2 linked regions of the Nothobranchius furzeri genome follow. The protein of the gene in region 2 purifies or fractionates together with the protein of the main gene of each other region. This does not show direct contact. Links are inferred from orthologs where the notes say so. Each region holds a gene or a part of one and is shown on either strand. Other genes may lie near its edges. The genes, in order: ago3a and trinucleotide repeat-containing gene 6A protein.

What was found.
Region 1: the proteins of trinucleotide repeat-containing gene 6A protein (region 2) and ago3a purify together in Homo sapiens (affinity purification with mass spectrometry; 7 studies listed by BioGRID and IntAct, with this or other methods). This does not show direct contact. The link is inferred for Nothobranchius furzeri from reciprocal best matches to the Homo sapiens genes TNRC6A and AGO3.

Annotation. Positions count from the first base shown.
Region 1 is NC_091745.1:69,169,535-69,178,528, forward strand, and holds the start of ago3a (protein argonaute-3), read right to left. Parts: upstream 5,295-8,994; 5' UTR 5,063-5,294; coding exon 5,044-5,062; intron 1-5,043. Other genes in the region: ago1 (protein argonaute-1), read right to left, coding at 8,465-8,573, 8,686-8,885, 8,962-8,994.
Region 2 is NC_091752.1:63,515,803-63,524,796, reverse strand, and holds the start of trinucleotide repeat-containing gene 6A protein, read right to left. Parts: upstream 6,021-8,994; 5' UTR 5,786-6,020; intron 2,393-5,785; 5' UTR 2,391-2,392; coding exon 2,345-2,390; intron 1-2,344.

The sequences.
Region 1 (8,994 bases), on a different chromosome or scaffold from region 2:
ATAAAAAAATGTTCGTTGACAAATCTGGTTCACACTATGATGCATTTACATCGTCGTCATCTTCCTCCGCTTATCTGGGTCTGGGTCGTGGGGGCAGCATCCCAACTAGGGAGCTCCAGACCGTCCTGCATTTACACTCATTGAAAATTAATGCATCTTAGTGTAATGCAAATTTTCTATAAAATGATATGAGAATGGCATAAACCAATAGGGTTTCAGAATTTGGGGTAGACCAATACAGTTGTGGTCAGAAGTTTACATACACTTGTAAAAAATATAATATAATGGCTCTACTGAGTGTCCCGTTATTTCTAAAACTCTGATTTTTCTCTGATAGAGTGATTGGAACAGATACTTCTTTGTCACAAAAAACATTCATGAAGTTTGGTTCTTTAATGTCTTTATTATGGGTTAACAGAGAAAAGTGATCACATTTGCTGGGTCACAAATATACATACAGCAGTGCTAATATTTGGTTACATGTCCCTTAGCCATTTTCACTTCAATTAGGTGCTTTTGGTAGCCATCCACAAGCTTCTGGCAAGCTTCTGGTTGAATCTTTGACCACTCCTCTTGACAGAATTGGTGAAGTTCAGTTAAATTTGATGGCTTTCTGACATGGACTTGTTTCTTCAGCACTGTCCACATGTTTTTAATGGGGTTTAAGTCAGGACTTTGGGAAGGCCATTCTAAAACCCTTATTCTAGCCTGATTTAGCCATTCCTTTACCACTTTTGATGTGTGTTTGGGGTCATTGTCCTGTTGGAACACCCAACTGCGCCCAAGACCCAACCTTCGTGCTGATGATTTTAGGTTATGTTGAAGAATGTGAAGGTAATCCTCCTTCTTCATTATCCCATTTACTCTCTGTAAAGCACCAGTTCCATTGGCAGCAAAACAGCCCCACAGCATAATATTCCCACCACCATGCTTGACTGTAGGCATGGTGTTCTTGGGGTTAAAGGCCTCACCTTTTCTCCTCCAAACATATTGCTGGGCATTGTGGCCAAAAAGCTCGATTTTCGTTTCGTCTGACCACAGAACTTTCCTCCAGTAGGTCTTATCTTTGTCCATGTGATCAGCAGCAAACTTCAGTTGAGCCTTAAGGTGCCGCTTTTGGAGCAAGGGCTTCCTTCTTGCACGGCAGCCTCTCAGTCCATGGAGATGCAAAACACGTTTGACTGTGGACAATGACACCTGTGTTCCAGCAGCTTCTAATTCTTGGCAGATCTGCTTTTTGGTGATTCTTGGTTCACTCTTTACCCTCCTGACCAATTTTCTCTCAGCAGCAGGTGATAGCTTGCGTTTTCTTCCTGATCTTGGCAGTGATGAAACAGTGCCATGCACCTTATACTTACAAACAATTGTTTGCACTGTTGCTCTTGGGACCTGCAGCTGCTTTGAAATGGCCCCAAGTGACTTTCCTGACTTGTTCAAGTCAATAATTCGCTTTTTCAGATCCATGCTGAGCTCCTTTGACTTTCCCATTGAAGCGTTTGTGGGCGTTTGTATCCAATGAGCCCTATTTACCTGGCCTAAGAGAAGTCACCAGCTGTAGTCACTCATAATCACTCACAAGAAGTTAAGAGGCCATGCTATGAAGCTCAGTTCACTGACACGTTTCTAAGTCACCAAAATTGCTAGTTCATGTTGCTGTATGTATATTTGTGACCCAGCAAATGTGATCACTTTTCTCTGTTAGCCCATAATAAAGACATTAAAGAACCAAACTTCATGAATGTTTTTTGTGACAAAGATGTATCTGTTCCAATCACTCTATCAGAGAAAAATCAGAGTTTTAAAAATAATGGGACACTCGGTAGAGCCATTATATTTTTTACAAGTGTATGTAAACTTCTGACCACAACTGTATATCTGTCAGCCACGTTCAACTTTCAATAATCCGTGTGTGATGACAGTGTACGTATATTGCAACCTTCTGCACAGACCTCAAAAATGTAAACAAAAAGCAGCCATACTAACCACTAAATGCAGCCCTGCTATGTCATTTATTTACTTTTAGAGCACATGCTGTGTCTACTAGAGGACCTTTTGTCGTCTTGTAGCCTCACCACTTTCATAACATTGACGTAGCTTCTGGAGACTTAACAGAACATTCCAACCCTCAGATACCCCTAATCATTGTGCTAGCAGATAATCTGGGAATAACGGACAACATTCCCGTCTTGGCATTGAAACCACTGCTCAATCTGGATAGGACTTGCAGGCTATGAACCAGCTGATACATAGCTTAAAATGGAGTGCGAATTCTGCTTAATTTACAAGACAGAATATGGACTACCTTAAAAACATAAGGTCTGTCTAAGCGAAAAATACACACACATTTATATATACACAAATATATATATATATATATATATATATATATATATATATATATATATATATATATATATATATATATATATATATACACACACACACACACACATATTTACATATATATAACATAAAAAATATATATATATTATAAAATTATACATACATACATACATACATACATACATACACACATACACACATACATGTATATAATATACACACATATACACACACTCACACTTATTTGCTTTAGAACACATCTTTTTTTAGGTTTGTATATAAAATTACATTAACTGGACGTCATTCCACAGAGTGTGGAGAGATCATGATCTATAACAACAGGTTGGTTCATGCAACACACATGGTAATAAATGGGGTACTTATGACAAGTTAGACAATAGCTGCCGATTTTGCCCCAGCAGATAGTGGGTAACTCTTCACCTACGTCAGGAAGATGTCCCTCAAGTGTTTGAAGACAACGTTTGGATGCCAGCGGGGATTATGAGATGCATCTTAGGGAAATTTTGAATGTTTTCCGCAGTCCATTATGATGGATTGTGAAGCACTTGTGTTTATTTAATCATCTGGTGCAAAATGACAATAAGCTTCTGTTTCTATACTCTTGATACACTCGAAAAAAATAAAATGTTGAGTTTACTTAACCAAGTTGTGGGGGAAAAAAAGGATTGTGAACACAAAACTTGTTGTAGACCAACTATTTTATTGGAGTGCTTTAATTGGACTTCTGGATGTAAAAAGACCATTGCTGTTGGAGATGGTTCTATTCCAGGGGTAGGCAACCCTGGTCTTAGAGAGCTGCAGTCCTGCATGTTTTCCAGCCATGCATGAACTTGCAGCTTCTAATTGGCTGAACAACAGGAACAACAAAGATAGTTGGAAAACAAACAGGACTGCAGCTCTCTAGGACCAGGGTTGCCTATCCCTACTCTATTCCAGTCGACTTTCATTTGAATCTCCAAGAGGCAAATGTGTTTATTATCTCTACACCTATGGTTGAATCCTTGTTTGAAACATATCGTTGAAATTTAAATAACCCTGGCTTTTAAATTATGTGTAATATGTATGTGTACATAGAAGAAGTGTTGCAAAAATGATGCGGATTTGACATGGGCGCTTGCAATGTCCCATCTGTGAGGCTTTAAAAATAATTGCTTATTGCCAAAGAGTTTGGCCAATCCCCGATGGTCGAATAATCCATCCAATTACTAAACCTTACTGGAGAATGTTACAGGAAAGGACAGATAATTTTATTTATCAAAAAAAAAACATTCTATGTACATTATGTGAAGTGCACGCAAAATGCTGCCTTACTTGGTGTCCATACAACAAGACTGTATAGAATGTTTAATTTAACAAGAATAACATTACATTTAGACCAATGCTACATTTTAGGATGTAAATAATTTGACTGAATGCATTTTTTTCTGTATTTGTTTGACCTTACTGTGTGTTTAGCTGCTGGGAAAACACCTTGCAGTCACACATGCTGTTAAAGCGGGGAAGCTTGAGGAGAGCTCAGCACTAGAGAGAATGGGCAGCTGAGAGAGATCTCCTCGAGGAGGCAGTGGGATACAAACCAACCGCTGTATCGTGTGTCACTGGATAATCAAGAGTACCTAGGATTCAGTTTATTGTCACATTAGTGGAAAGCTTCCGTTACAAAGCTTCCGTGGAGACCAAGCCAGGTGGTTTGGACTGTTTAACTGTCACTCTGAACAAAAAAGGGACCACCGGTTTGCTCTTGGTCAGTTAAATATGTTTTTTTCACTGGAGCTAGACATGAACTAGCAAGTTTATATGGGATCATACCTGCAAAAAAACACTCATTAGATTTAGATGTTTTAGAAAGATTGAAAAATATTATTTAGGATCCAGCTTGTAGAAGGTAATAGGGTTTAACCCTATAGATCGCAAAGTTTCAAGCCCTAAATGCGCCAAGGTCAGTTAGAGCCATGATGCTGAGACCCAGGGTCTTCTACAAGAACGGAGTTCACCTTCTGTCACATTCTTAGAAGACAGATATGGTTTGTTGGAGAAGTCTTTTATTAAGGGGAATACCAGGTTAATCTTCAGACTCTGTGTGAGAATGCCCACACCTGCCTGGTGATGCAACACAACCACCTCCTCTGGATATTTCATTTAGACTGAGTATCTCTTTGGTGACACATTTAAAAACCAATCAATCATCAGAATACAAAGATCAAAAATCAGACATAAATAAGCATACACTTACTTGGTGATGTTGTGATCAAATTAAAGGCTATAAATGCATATTTGAATTAAAATTTCAACCAGACTTAATTGAAAGACTCAAATATTTGAACCATGATTATTTTCATTTCACCGTAACAAGGTTTCCCTGTCATACAAAGTTGTTTAACAGTTTACTTTTGATTAATAAAGGTTTGCAGATCCAATTAATTACTCAAAGCAGTTAATCCAAATCAGGTTAATGGAAACAAAAGGTTGAATAACCTACCAATTTAATTAAAAATAAAACTGGTGAATTAGTTCAGACAACCACACATTTTTTACAGTGTTATAAATACAAGGATGGACCATCGGGATGGACACAACTTTAAGACATTAACAGCTAAAATGTTAAATTATGGTATCGTGTCTGATCTCGATTCTACCCATAAGAGTTTTTATTTAAAATAACGATGCAGAGTAAATTACCTGTAGTTCCGATTTCCATTCATGAGGTCCCTGCCCGGTTCACTTCCCGGATCACAGGTGTCAAACGTCTGGTTACTCCTGTTAGCTCCGGTGTCTCCTCCGTGGGGAGGACAGCGCCTGTCTCTGCACAGCGACAAGGGTGTCCACGTTTTTTATGTCCCCCCCCTCCTAACGTGCTGTCAATCGAGTCTTTTCACCAGCAGAGTTTTTTTTTTCTCGGCGTCTCCTCGCACCGCCGTCAGAAATCGGGTTTCACCGCCACGGAGAAGGCTACAGTGGCAGTGAAAACCTGCTAGGTTAGCTTGCTAGCCAGGCTTTGAAAAGTGTCTAGAACGGACGAGAGGAGCTGTCAGGAGATCATCACAGCAGGGAGGGTCACAGAGTCCAAACGAGTCTCTAACGATAGGTGACCATTAGCAGGAGCGGCATAAATACTTATCGGGACGGCGAACGTCGGAGCGGCTAAAGTAACAAGCTAGCTGGCTAGCTCGCGCTGATAGTTGGAATAATGACACGCGATAGCTACTTTTATCGCGTTAAAAACAGCTGTTAAAAACAGGCCGCGTTCTCAGGCGCCGTGTTCCGTCGACGTCGTCGTCAGTAAGTTGTATCCCGGTGCCGAAACGACGCTGTCAGCTCCGCGTTGTTTCCTCCGAGAAGTGTCAAGATTTTCAGGCTAGTTGACAGAACTCTGCAGGGCTTCGGCAAGCCAGCTAAATATGGTGAAGTAGCCTTTCTCACACCGACAGGAAGAGGTGGGCTCTGCCAGCAGACGTCAGAACAACTCACTCCGCCTTCAGCCACAGTTTTTTCTGCATTAATGAATACATCAGTTCATAATTAAAAAAAAAGAAGCATCAGAAACTTTTTACAGTATAAATCAATGCACAATAATAAAAAATAAAGCATGAAACAACAAACGAGTCAAAAGAACCTGCAGGAGTAATAAAAAACAATTTATTTTTTTATTAAAAAATAACCCTCCCCGACAGAGTTCCAACACTATCACACACAGAACTTAAGTAATATGCTTCCATGTCCTTTCATTCATATCTATTGGGAAGTGCTATGATGAGGACTGTTCTTGATCAGTGGCTTTGATATTGCTTAATCGGACCGTGAGGTTGTGCGAAGAGGACTCGACTCTCCGCTGTCCACGATACATTTCCAGGGAGACCATTTTTGTGTCCCCCTTGGCAAGGTGCTTTTGTGGCTTCAGTACGTGAAGAACTGCATCTGGTTTTAGTGGTGCAGAGGAGTACCCCCGACTTCTTTAAGTACAGAACGCAGAGTAAAACACTGGCCTCAACTGTGAAAGACCCAGCATGTGTCAGGCCAAAATATAGAACATGTACATATTATATATATTAATATATACAAATCACCTTGGACACTATGGAGGATCAGTAAACCGGTGTACGAAGGCATTCGGATTATGCAACTTTATAAATATGATTTTAAAATCGAACATCTGATCTAGTGTGTTCTTTTTTTTTAATCAGATCCTTCCTCGACTTTAAGGGCTTCTGCCCATCAGATGAGATTTGAGGCGCTTTAAGGGCACCTGAGGTGGAATTTAGACACCATCTCCACAGTGCCCTCTTGAGGATACACTGACAATAGTCACAATATTTATAATAATGACAAAAAATATATCAGTTTCAATAACTGTTACACAACAGAGGCAAAACAACTGACAGGCAGTGTTGAGCACAAGGCTCCTACCTCTAAGAAAACCAACAGAAGGTGGCTCAGAATATCCAGTCCAGTTAAAATAATAGTTACATGCTTTTTTTTCTCATAGATCCAGACAGTGAGCTGATGTGAAGGCAGGGCATATTGAAATGTAGTAACAGAGGCCCACCCTGTCCAATGAGCAATCCCCTGTCTATGACGCCCATGCACACAGAGCACCAATAGGGATTGGCTAACACAGATTAGGGGATTGGAACAGGGGATGCTGAATGCATGTGGTGCCAAAACATGAAAAACAAATGGCAAAAGACAGAACGTGGTGGCGAGGCCAAAGAGCAACAGTTTGCATGAGCGTGTTCTACCTCTGCATGTTAAGAAACAAATCAACGTGTGCTTTCATTACCCAAGCTATGAGTTGTAAACGCCTGCAGCAGGAAGAGCGCCGAGTAAAAACAGGACCGGTCGTAGTTTGGTGTGTGCAGTTATGCAAGGAAGTTTTGAGAACGGAAGTGTGAAAAAATGCACCGCGTGGCGTCATCTCCACTGATACAAGTAGGAATATGCAGGACGAGCGAAGGAAGGTCGCCGGCTGAATGGAGGTTCAGCCTCGCAGCACTCGGGCGATCACAAACTCGCCTGTTTCCAAGTGTGCACAACAGTGCTGACCTTGCTTATTGCTTTATTTCTGAGTGCAACTCAAGTGTGGGTGTGAAACTCTAAGCTAGTGTGGTTCAAGTCTTGCAGAAAAAAAAAGTTCATAATTTTTATGTAAAATTATACGTAAACAAAAAAAAAAAGTGCCTAAAATCCTTAAAGAGCAGTGAATACAGACAAAGTCTTCCCATTTAAGTGCCTCCTATTTTAACTGGGTGGCATCACTTTTGGCTGGTTAATAATGCTGGTTTAGGTGCATGGGGTGCAAGTATATTTGATACACTCTATGCAAATGGTCCCTCTACTGTTATGCTAAGCTCTCTATAGGGACTGGCCAATCGGGACTGAGAGTGCCACAGCACCTAGGATCGCTACACCTGCTCCTGTCTGCTAATAACGACCAGAGGGCTAGCCTCGAACGACTACAATTCTTTATGTGCAGGACCGGTGGCACCTACATGCTAACGCTAAGTGCTACTGTACCATCCCTCAGGCTCATCAAGGCGTTTTAAGAAAATAACATTATTACAAAAGCATCACAAAACATGAATGTAGTTCATGAAAACATTAAAAAATAACATAAATGTAAGTGTGCGTGCTCAGTACCACCCATCTGGCGGATCGCCAAGCTAAAGGGTTGGAACACCGGCATCCGGCTTTTGGATGGGACAAGAGGCAGCATTGTGGTGGCAGTTAAAAAAAGTTTTAGGAATTTCTTTTTCCCCTTTCGATCATCTATTTTTCCTCCCATCCGTATTGCATACTTACTTAGATAGGAGTGTAAAGGTAGCGTACAATACAATTACATAACCATGTCCATGTTTGAAAAATAAAAAAACATAAAAAATCAACCATCATGATAAAAAATTAAAAAAAATGAAAACATGAGAATAAAAATATTTAAAACTTTGAGTGCATGAGGCTGCAGAGTCTGGCTGTGTTTACAGGAGATGAGTGAGTGACGGACCAACAGAGGGTGTGTGTGTGGTGGGAGTCAGGGATGGGGATGGGGATGAGGCGGGAGCAGGCTTTCAGGCCCGCTCAGGTAGAAGTGAGGTGGTGGGAGCGATGCTCAGGCGAAGTACATGGTCCTCAGAGTGTCGTGGTGAATCTGAACAGCTTTAGCCAGCGCCTGGGGGTCCCGGCCGTTACTCTGGCCGGAAACATGGCTGCCCTCTCCACTGCAAAGGGAAAACGGGGAGAAGACCCAAAGACCACAGCAGTTACGCTAAAGTGTAGAAAGTAGTTGCATGCCAAATTTTTATGATTTGCTTTTACAAAAATCACACTGACCTGTCGTGTTCTTTGTCTACCAGGTGGTAGCGAGCGCGGAAGGCCACGAGACGGGCATAGTAGGCTGGTGCGGGGATGGAAACTGAGCGGGTACAACGGACATACGTGTGGCACAACTGGTAGGTTAGAATCTGCAACTCATCCGCCGTGAAGCGATTATCGTCCCATAAGACGTAGTAGTGAGACGGCCGACTGGTACCCTGGTGGCGGAAACGAAAAGGGTTTGGGTTGTTAAGGAAACACCTGAAATAAACTGTAAAAGTGTGTGAGTCACACCTGTATGCCTGCATGACTGCACAGGTAGAAGTC
Region 2 (8,994 bases):
GTTTGTCGTCACAATTCTCTGCAGGGTGCGGTTATCCCTAGAGCTTGTACACTTTTTTCTACCACATTTTTTCCGTCCCTTCGCCTGTCTGTTAATGTGCTTGGACACAGAGCTCTGCGAACAGCCAGCTTCTTTAGCAATCACCTTTTGTGTCTTGCCCTCCTTGTGCAAGGTGTCAATGATTGTCTTTTGGACAGCTGTTAAGTCAGAAGTCTTCCCCATGATTGTGGTGCCTTCAAAACAAGACTGAGGGACCTTTTAAAGGCCTTTGCAGGTGTTTTGAGTAAATCAGCTGATTAGAGTGGCAGCAGGTGTCTTCTATATTCAGCCTTTTCAGAATATTCTAATTTTTTGAGATACCAAATTTGGAGTTTTCATTAGTTGTCACTTATGAATATCAAATTTAAATGTAATGAACATTGGAAATACATTGGTCTGTGTGCATTGCATGAATATAATGTACAAGTTTCACGTTTTGAATGGAATTACTGAAATATTTTCAACCTTTTGATGATATTCTAATTTACTGGCCAGCACCTGTATGTCTTTTCACTTTTTAATGGAGCTGTTGACAAATTTACAGGAAGCTAGAGTTCTGATGACAATCAAAAAGAGAGATCATATCTCTCCTGTCTTAGCTTCCCTTCATTGGCTGCCTGTTAAATTCAGAATAGATTTTAAGATCCTTCTTCTCGCATATAAAGCTCTTAATAATCAAGGTCCATCATACATCAGTGATCTGATTGTTCCATACGTTCCTAACCGAGCACTTTGCTCTCAGACTGCAGGTCTACTGGTGGTTCCCAGAATATCTAAAATTAGGATGGGAGGCAGATCTTTTAGTTATCAGGCTCCTCTCCTGTGGAACCAACTCCCAGCCTTAGTCTGTGAGGCAGACACCTTGTCTACTTTAAAGACTAGGCTTAAAACATTTTTCTTGTATAGGGCTTATGGTTAAAATCTGATGTTAGCCTAGATCTGGACAAGTGGGAGAGTACAGGGAGGTGGAGTGTAGAGTCGGTAAAGACGGCTCTCCCTTGTCCTGCCTCCAACATGCCTCCATCTAAATAGGATAGATTATCCAGAGTTATCTCTGTAGTTATGCTGCTATAGGCTTAGACTGCTAGAGGACACACTGACCACTTTTCACACTCTACTACTTTCTTCTACAATCTGCTCTTTAACTGTATTATTTTCTGCAATTTCAGCTGTTAACTATTTTTTCTCTCTAAGTGTTTTTCTCCCCAGAAGAAGCTACAACGATGCTCTGCTGAGCTGTGGTGGCCTCATGGAGGGGACCATCGTCTAGCACACTGCTGCTAAACACTTAAACATTCTCCCTCTCCTGATAATAACTTTTTGCTTTCCTTGACGTTGGTGTGCTACTACTAGTTTACCCGTTTAACAATAGATTCACTAGGATAAATACAAGAAAGTTTATCTCTCGCCAAATAGAATATTTACTAAGCAATCACGGTGTAACCATGGACACATTGCTTGGTGTGTGTGTGTGTGTGTGTGTGTGTGTGTGTGTGTCTGTGTGTGTGTTCCGTCTTCTCGATCCCCAGTGAGTCGTGGAGGATGGCTGCTTATACTGAGCCAGGATCCTCTGGAGGTTTCTTCCTGTTAAAAGGGAGTTTTCCTCTCCACTGTCGCTGCATGCTTGCTTAGTATGAGGATTGCTGTATAGTCACTGACACTAGTCAGTGACTTGATGCAACTTGCTGGGTTCCTTATATAGGAAACATTTTTCCTGACTGGCTTAATGAACTGACCTGAATTGGAATGTTTATTATGTGAAGTGTCTTGAGATGACTCTTGTCGGGATTTGGCGCTATATAAATACAATTGAATTGAATTGACCAATCACAAGCTTGCGGTCTCTCACTTCTAACAGATGTTTAATATTTTGGGCATGTCTCAATCTGTAAGCCCGTTGGAGAGCCCTTGCGCCAACGTATAATGGCGTTGAATGTCTCAGGATCGACGCAGAAGTATAAATCACACTCAGGTGTTTGAGTGTATTAATAACTTATTTATTTATGAGCCACAGAACTAAAAGGACACAGGCCCATAATAATGGTGTTTTTAGCTTTGCCTTTGTTATTTTTCAGTCACTATCCACTACTTCATGCCTGCACCAGGTCTTCTTATGCACCCTTCAACACACACTTTTTCATGAATTCATTTCAGTCTCACTGACGAGAGGGGAGTACAACACACCACTGGACAAGGTCAAGTCCAGGTTGGATCTTTTCTATGCAGAAAGCAAAAGTAAAGCACTTTGACAGAGCAGTAAATGCAAAGGAGGAGTATTTTTTAAAAGAAGACAATATGTTGTCACCTGTTTGGTTAGGAGAGTGGCTGACGGAATCCCGAATGGGAGCCATGCCTGGAAAAAGAAAGCGGGAGACTGTCAAGGTTCGAAGGGAAGCAGAGATGGAAAACAATGTGAGAAGATGTTAGAAACAGCTGGAATAAATATACAGTAATAAAAAAGGTTTAAAGTCAGAAGAGTTTAGAAAAACAGCTTTAAAGGAAAGCAGGACTAGTATTTTCTGTTACTAAATCTCTAGTTATTTCTTAGATAATATAAGAATTTAAAGACTTCATTGATTGATAATTTCTGAGAATTATGTACCATACCATAGTTTGTAATAAATGACTGACACCCCAATAAAAATATTTTACGACACAAACATTTATTTTAGACTTCTGGTTACGAGTATAAACACAATAGCAGCCATCACAGAGAGATGCACTACTAACTCAAGCTAGGTCTATCAAAGTCAACTAACCGGGAGCCATTATCCTAGTTTATTTGTACATTAGAAAACCGAACTCTCAAATGAAGTTCGCTCCACTCCGAGGCAACATGCGCCCTTTTGTGTCGGTATTCTTCCGGTTAGCAACACCAAAACGGTAAATGGCCTGCATTTGTAAAGCACCTTCTTAGGGTTCTTTCTACCCCCCAGGCGCTTCACAACACAATCAGTCATCTACCCATTCACACGCTGGTGGTGATGAGCTACAATGTAGCCACAGCTGCCCTGAGGTTCAATAATAGACACAAGACTGCCAAACACTGGCGCCACCAGTCTCCGACCACCACCAGCAGAAAAGGTGGGTTTAACCCTCAGGCTTCATTAGGGACATTTTTGTCCATTTGGGCAGTTTTTTGCTTTTCTTTTGGATGCCATTTCACCATTGTTTGTGCATATGGTAGGCCTGAACGATTTTAGGAAAAGACTGAATTGCAATTTTTCTAGCAGAAATTGCGATTTCGGTTCAATTCACGATTTTCTGCAAACAAAGATCCAGCATTAGCCTGCCAAGCCACCCTGTAGATTAGGTGAAAAGATGGTCTAGATTCTAATCTAGTACAACAAATCATTCACATTAATATTTACTATTTATTTAATCATACAATAAAAACAGTTAGCCATTATATTCTCCCATTATCTTTTTTTTTTTTTACATTTTTTTATGTGTTTGTGAAGCAACTTGTGCTTGTAGTTTATATCTAGAGAGGAGCTTTACAAAACATGTTCTATCCAAAAATGCATGGAGGAAATCTGTAAGTAAACATAGATTTTAAATGTATTAAATAAAAAAATGCACACAGTTTTCCCTGCATTACCGCGGCAGGCTGGCTGCACGTTTTTCAAAGTCGTCTGATTTTCCTCACTAAAATGTCAACTCCGTGAGAGACACAAGCATTCTGACACCTTAGCTTGTTTGAGCTAACGTGTGCCATCAGAAACATTCAAACCATTTTTAAAAGATAAGTTGAGCTTTCAAGTCAACTAAAGTGCGCGGCTCCGCACTCGCGCTGATGAAGCATAAACCAAGCTTTAGAAATAAGCCTGAACCTGCTCCGATGTGGGAGGAGTCTCTCTCCCTTACCCCCTACGTCCTCTCTCTCTCTCTCTCTGTCCCAGGCTCACCTTCGGTCCCATTATTATAGGCTCTAGCAGCGCTGTGTGTGGGAACGTAAAACAGGAACAATAACCTGAACATGCAGCTCTGGCAGCTTTGGAGTTGGGCTCTGCTCTGGATGGCACACCCCACTCCCCTCCCCCGCGCTGGATTTTGCCGCCGACATAACACAGGGCGACAACCCCGGATGTAAAAAATAAAAAATAAAAAGTTACAAAACTGATCCGGGATCAGTCAAAACCTCCAAAACCATAGCGTTGACGGTCACATGAGCGTGCTGTTTGAAATCGGAATTTCGGTCCAAAAACGATAGATCGTTCAGCCGTACCATACGGTACAAATCTTTGTTGCAAAACACCTCCCTGGACAAATTTCGAAATTCAATTTGGAATTTTGAAAATAAACCAAGTGAACACTATGAAGAAAAAAACAAAAAACACCATACACTTGAGTCTAGCGGACAAAAACGTCCCATTGACTTCCATTCAAACCACAGTTTAGTATGTTTATGCACCTGGCTGGAGCTCCAGACACGTGCATAAACATACCAATTGTTTTTGCTTTCTACACTTTGAAGTTCAGTAAGAGAGTCAAACTGTGTTTTATCTACTTATCAGAGGTCAGGTTGACCTTTTGACTTCAATACAAACAACAGAAGATCTAAAGAAATGTGTAGACTTTCTCACCTGGGCCACGTATGGAGAAATAACTGAATTTGGTGAAGAACAGTAAAAATCACAAATTTCACTAGTGAAAAATGAAACACTAATATCACAGAAAGCATGATTACTTTTTCCAGATGTTACAGGATGAAAAACTGTGGTTTGAATGGAAGTCAATGGGACATTTTTGTCCGCCAAGATCAATCTGTTGCTACACAAAAACTACGGATGCAAATTTTTTTATTTTTCAGTTATTTCATAACATGACTAAGCCTGATTTATAATAAATGCCCCAGGAAGAAACAGTTGTTTTTGGGGGAAAATAAGTCATTTTTGTGTTTTTTCCTCCATAAATTCCAGAAATGACTGAGTAATCAAACTGGCATTTGAAGTGTTAAAAATGATGGAGGGCTGAAGTAGTTTAACAGAAGGATGAAAAAAAAGCAGAAGAAAAATATTATTGTATACATTTTTATAGCCATTTTTACCAGCGGACGTTTTGTCCTCTAAAGACTCAAGTGTATAGTAAAATAAAGTGAAGCCTGAGGCTTAAGCGTCTTGCCCAAGGACACAACAGCAGCATTGTCTGATGGGAGCCGGGATCTAACCTGCAACCTTCTGATTACCGGTCTACCTCCTGAGCGACTGCTGCCCAAATAGTAAACCAATGCTGGCGGGAGTGAGCCAGACAGAGTTAAAACAGGATATGAACGATGGCTGTGAAGCAATGGACAACGGCGCGGCAGCACAGCTGATACTGTACTGTTTGATGGTGTAACGCATGTTACTTTGTAACAATGGAATTATCAGAAGACTACTTCCACGGTCTCGTGGCATCAGCTCGACTGAGTCATTTACATGCAGATGAAGTTGAGTTTCTACCGCATTATGTGGGTGCTTTAGCCAGACTAATGCGTTTACATGCATAAAAAAAAACTACGTCCCTTTAAGGCAATAGTTTGGTTTTCTGACTATGAAGCAGTGGAGGGTCTGTGCAAGTAACTTTATTGCTTCATCTGATTTCATAAAAACTATGTAGTAGGTCCCTCAGACCTGAGGGTTAAACACCCGCTCACATCTGTAGCCGTTTAAATGCACAGCTGCCTTCAGTCCTTCATAAAGGAGGAGTCAGTTGGGAATGCAAATGCCTGCCCCCCCCCCACCCCCCCACCCCCACTGCTTACCTCTGAGTGCCACTGGTGGCTGCAGCTCCTGGCTGGACAGGAGGGTGTCCCCGGTTTCAGAAGAGAACAGGTGGCCTTTGGTTCCCAGCTCGGCACAGGGGAGGTCAAAGGTCAACACTTAGTGAGCACAGCTTCAAGGGTGTGAGGTGAGGAGGCGGGGCTTGTCAGAGCAGGAGACAGGCTGATTAGCCTCCCTTGGCATCGCTGAAGACTGGTGTTTGTGATTGTTTGTAAATAGGGACGGGGAAGGATGGAGGCGTGGTTATGATTAAGGACCGTCTTGATGTAGTATGCTTCGGCACTGCTGCACAAAAAAATAAAAAAATAAAGGAAAGGAAAGAAGCCATTATTAGTTTATTTTAATACTCTTTCTTTGTAATTTTAGATTCAAAACATCTGTAAAATAATTGTTCACAACGTTAGCCATCACATTCATCAGCTTCCGAAGCAATCCTGAAGTATTTCAAACAGCTGTCACAATCTTGTGCTTTAGAAACAATCCACATGCTCACAGAAAGACGTGATGGATAAAAAGGAGCTAAATGTTCATAAAACACTACGTGGTTTCTCAAAACAAAACATTTAGTTTTCTGACCTTTTTCAGCATAATAAAACAATTCCTACCAGAGTCAATGAATGCTAATAAATTATTATTCAACATGTTGACTACTCACTGGTTAAAGCAAAAGGTTAGATGGCAACTCGGCAAAACAACCGAGGGTAAATGGATCTCTAACTTGCTTTCGATTTCTGCAACAACCCAGACTAGAAACCTGACAAGAATGAGAAGGATGTAGCAGCTTGGTAATCAACATTGGTTTGTTCAATTGTGTGTGGGGAAAATGCCAACAACATTAGGAAAAAAAATCAGTTTAATCAAATTAAAATAAAATGGTTCTAGTATTTCATATTTCCTAGTTCCTAATGCATGAGTTCAGATGCATTAATTCATGCACTTAAACATTAATGTTCTGATTTTAGTGAAAAACTTGTTCTGTAATAGTTCCTTTGCTATTGTGATCAAAAACATTTCATCTCAATTCTGAGGCTGCTCTGTAAATATTTTTCTAATAAACAACACACATAGCAACTTCTGATCAATCTTTATCAGCTTCAGATTTAAAATAATGTATTGATGTAAACCACACCCACTAATTTCCAAATAATAAATAAGAGGTGCATTCATCTGTGTACAGGGTATATACAGCAATCCTTAAGTAAAATTTACTACTTTTTAATACTTTTTTTTACTACCTTCAGAATTTTTTTAAAACCATCACAACACTAAATTGCAAGTGTTAATCAGCGACCTATTTACACATATTTTAACATATATAACATACAAAAAGCATAGACTTAGAGACTCACTGATGTTGACAACGTATTGCGCATATTTATTTTACTTAGAAAATATGCCAGGCACTTCTTTTCAGCGGTTCAGACAGTTGACCACGGGGCCTGAAATGATGCAGAACGACCACTGAATATGACGTCATCATAATGTGACCGGATATGCTAAAGTAGGGTTGCTCAATTATGGCAAAAACAATAATCACGATTATTGTGACTGAAATTGAGATCTCGATTATTTAAGACGATTTTTCAATTTATGTAGATTTTTTTAATTTATTTTTATTCAGTCATAAAACTGCTCAGGGCACAATCAGGGCAAAAATAAACAAGAAACAAGATGATCACTAAAAGAACTCCTGATTCCCAGTATAAAAAGACCAATATACTTATAGCTCATAGTTTATGACCCAAGGGCAATAGACCTTGGTTTAACTCATTTAAGTCTAACCAGTGCAGACCCAAATACCAATATCTTGCAAATACTGACAGCAAGAATTATACAGTGGCATTTATAACAAATACATGCAAATAAATTGATGTTCACAAAATATTGCATAACATTTATTGAGTTGTGTCAAGGAGCTGTAGGAGAGTGCACTAGCACCGTGTCCTCAGAGAGATTAGTTATTATTTATTAGCGTGAGGAACTTATTTCTACCTTATTTATAAACTATTTATTAACAAGTCCATCAGTTAATGTAATAATTGTCCCAACCACAGCTGCACCCCCCACCCCCCAACCCGGTCTCACAGCAATCAGGGGCAAGCTGCACGTGTGTTTAGCGCGCCGCACACGCACACTTAGCCGTTTTTAGTGGCTCAGGAGTCCGCAGGTACGGTGTGTGTCACTCACTCTGGTTACTCCAACAGGGAGCCGGCTCTGAGCTGTTTCTTTAGCGACCGACACATCATTACATCATTCCCTTTCCTAATGTCCTGAAGAACGGTCCGGAGCGCAGGCGGAGTGTTTAGCTAACCTGCAGCAGGAAATGTCGACGATAGTTATCCAGAAAGTAGCTAAGGGTTACCAGAGATGTTTCTGAGGTGTTCGCCAGGTACTTTTAAGATTTAAAAAGTCAAGAAGGGGGTCTGAAAAGCTGTTGGAAATAGCATCAAAGTCGCTAAGTTGGCAACGGAGCGCTTCATTTGTAACTCAGGGCAGCTCAAGTGGGAGGAGCAAATAATCGGCTTGTTTTATTTTTATAATCGTTCAAAACATTTCATTCGGAATATATTTCTATGTCGATGTTCAGAATACGACACCTGATAGTCTGAAAAAAATAATACCTAACTTGGAAAAAATAATACCTCTGAGACCAAATTTAACACTTTTAATGGCCTTAAATTTGACTATTTTTATTTATCACTTTTTAATACTTTTTAAAACCCCGCGGACACCCTGGTGTATCTCCTTTGATCTGCATTAGTGATGTTTTCAGCACCAGAACAATGAAGCAAAGAAAGATTCCTGAGTTTGTTAGTAATTTTATTTATTAGGTGTATCGGACCTGTTCTATTTTTCTCTGAAATGAGATCAAATCAGTGCTTCTATGGGTTGTCTCCTCTCTGCACTAGAAAATTTTACTTTATAATGTTCATCTTGATTTTCTTAAATAAATTAAACCAAAGATATTGGTCAGTAATGCCAAATATGTAAATTTGTGTTTCAGTTGTTTTTATACTGGCTTAAAAATACTTCATTAAGTCTACTAAGCAGGGTAGGGCCAGCCCAGTAATGATCTTGGACCAAAATAAAGGGGGCAGAAATTCAAAGGGGGGCAGAAGGAGATGTTTTTCCAGACGCCAAGAAAAAATAAATGCCAAATCCCCCCTGCAAAGTGTGTCACTGAGAGTTT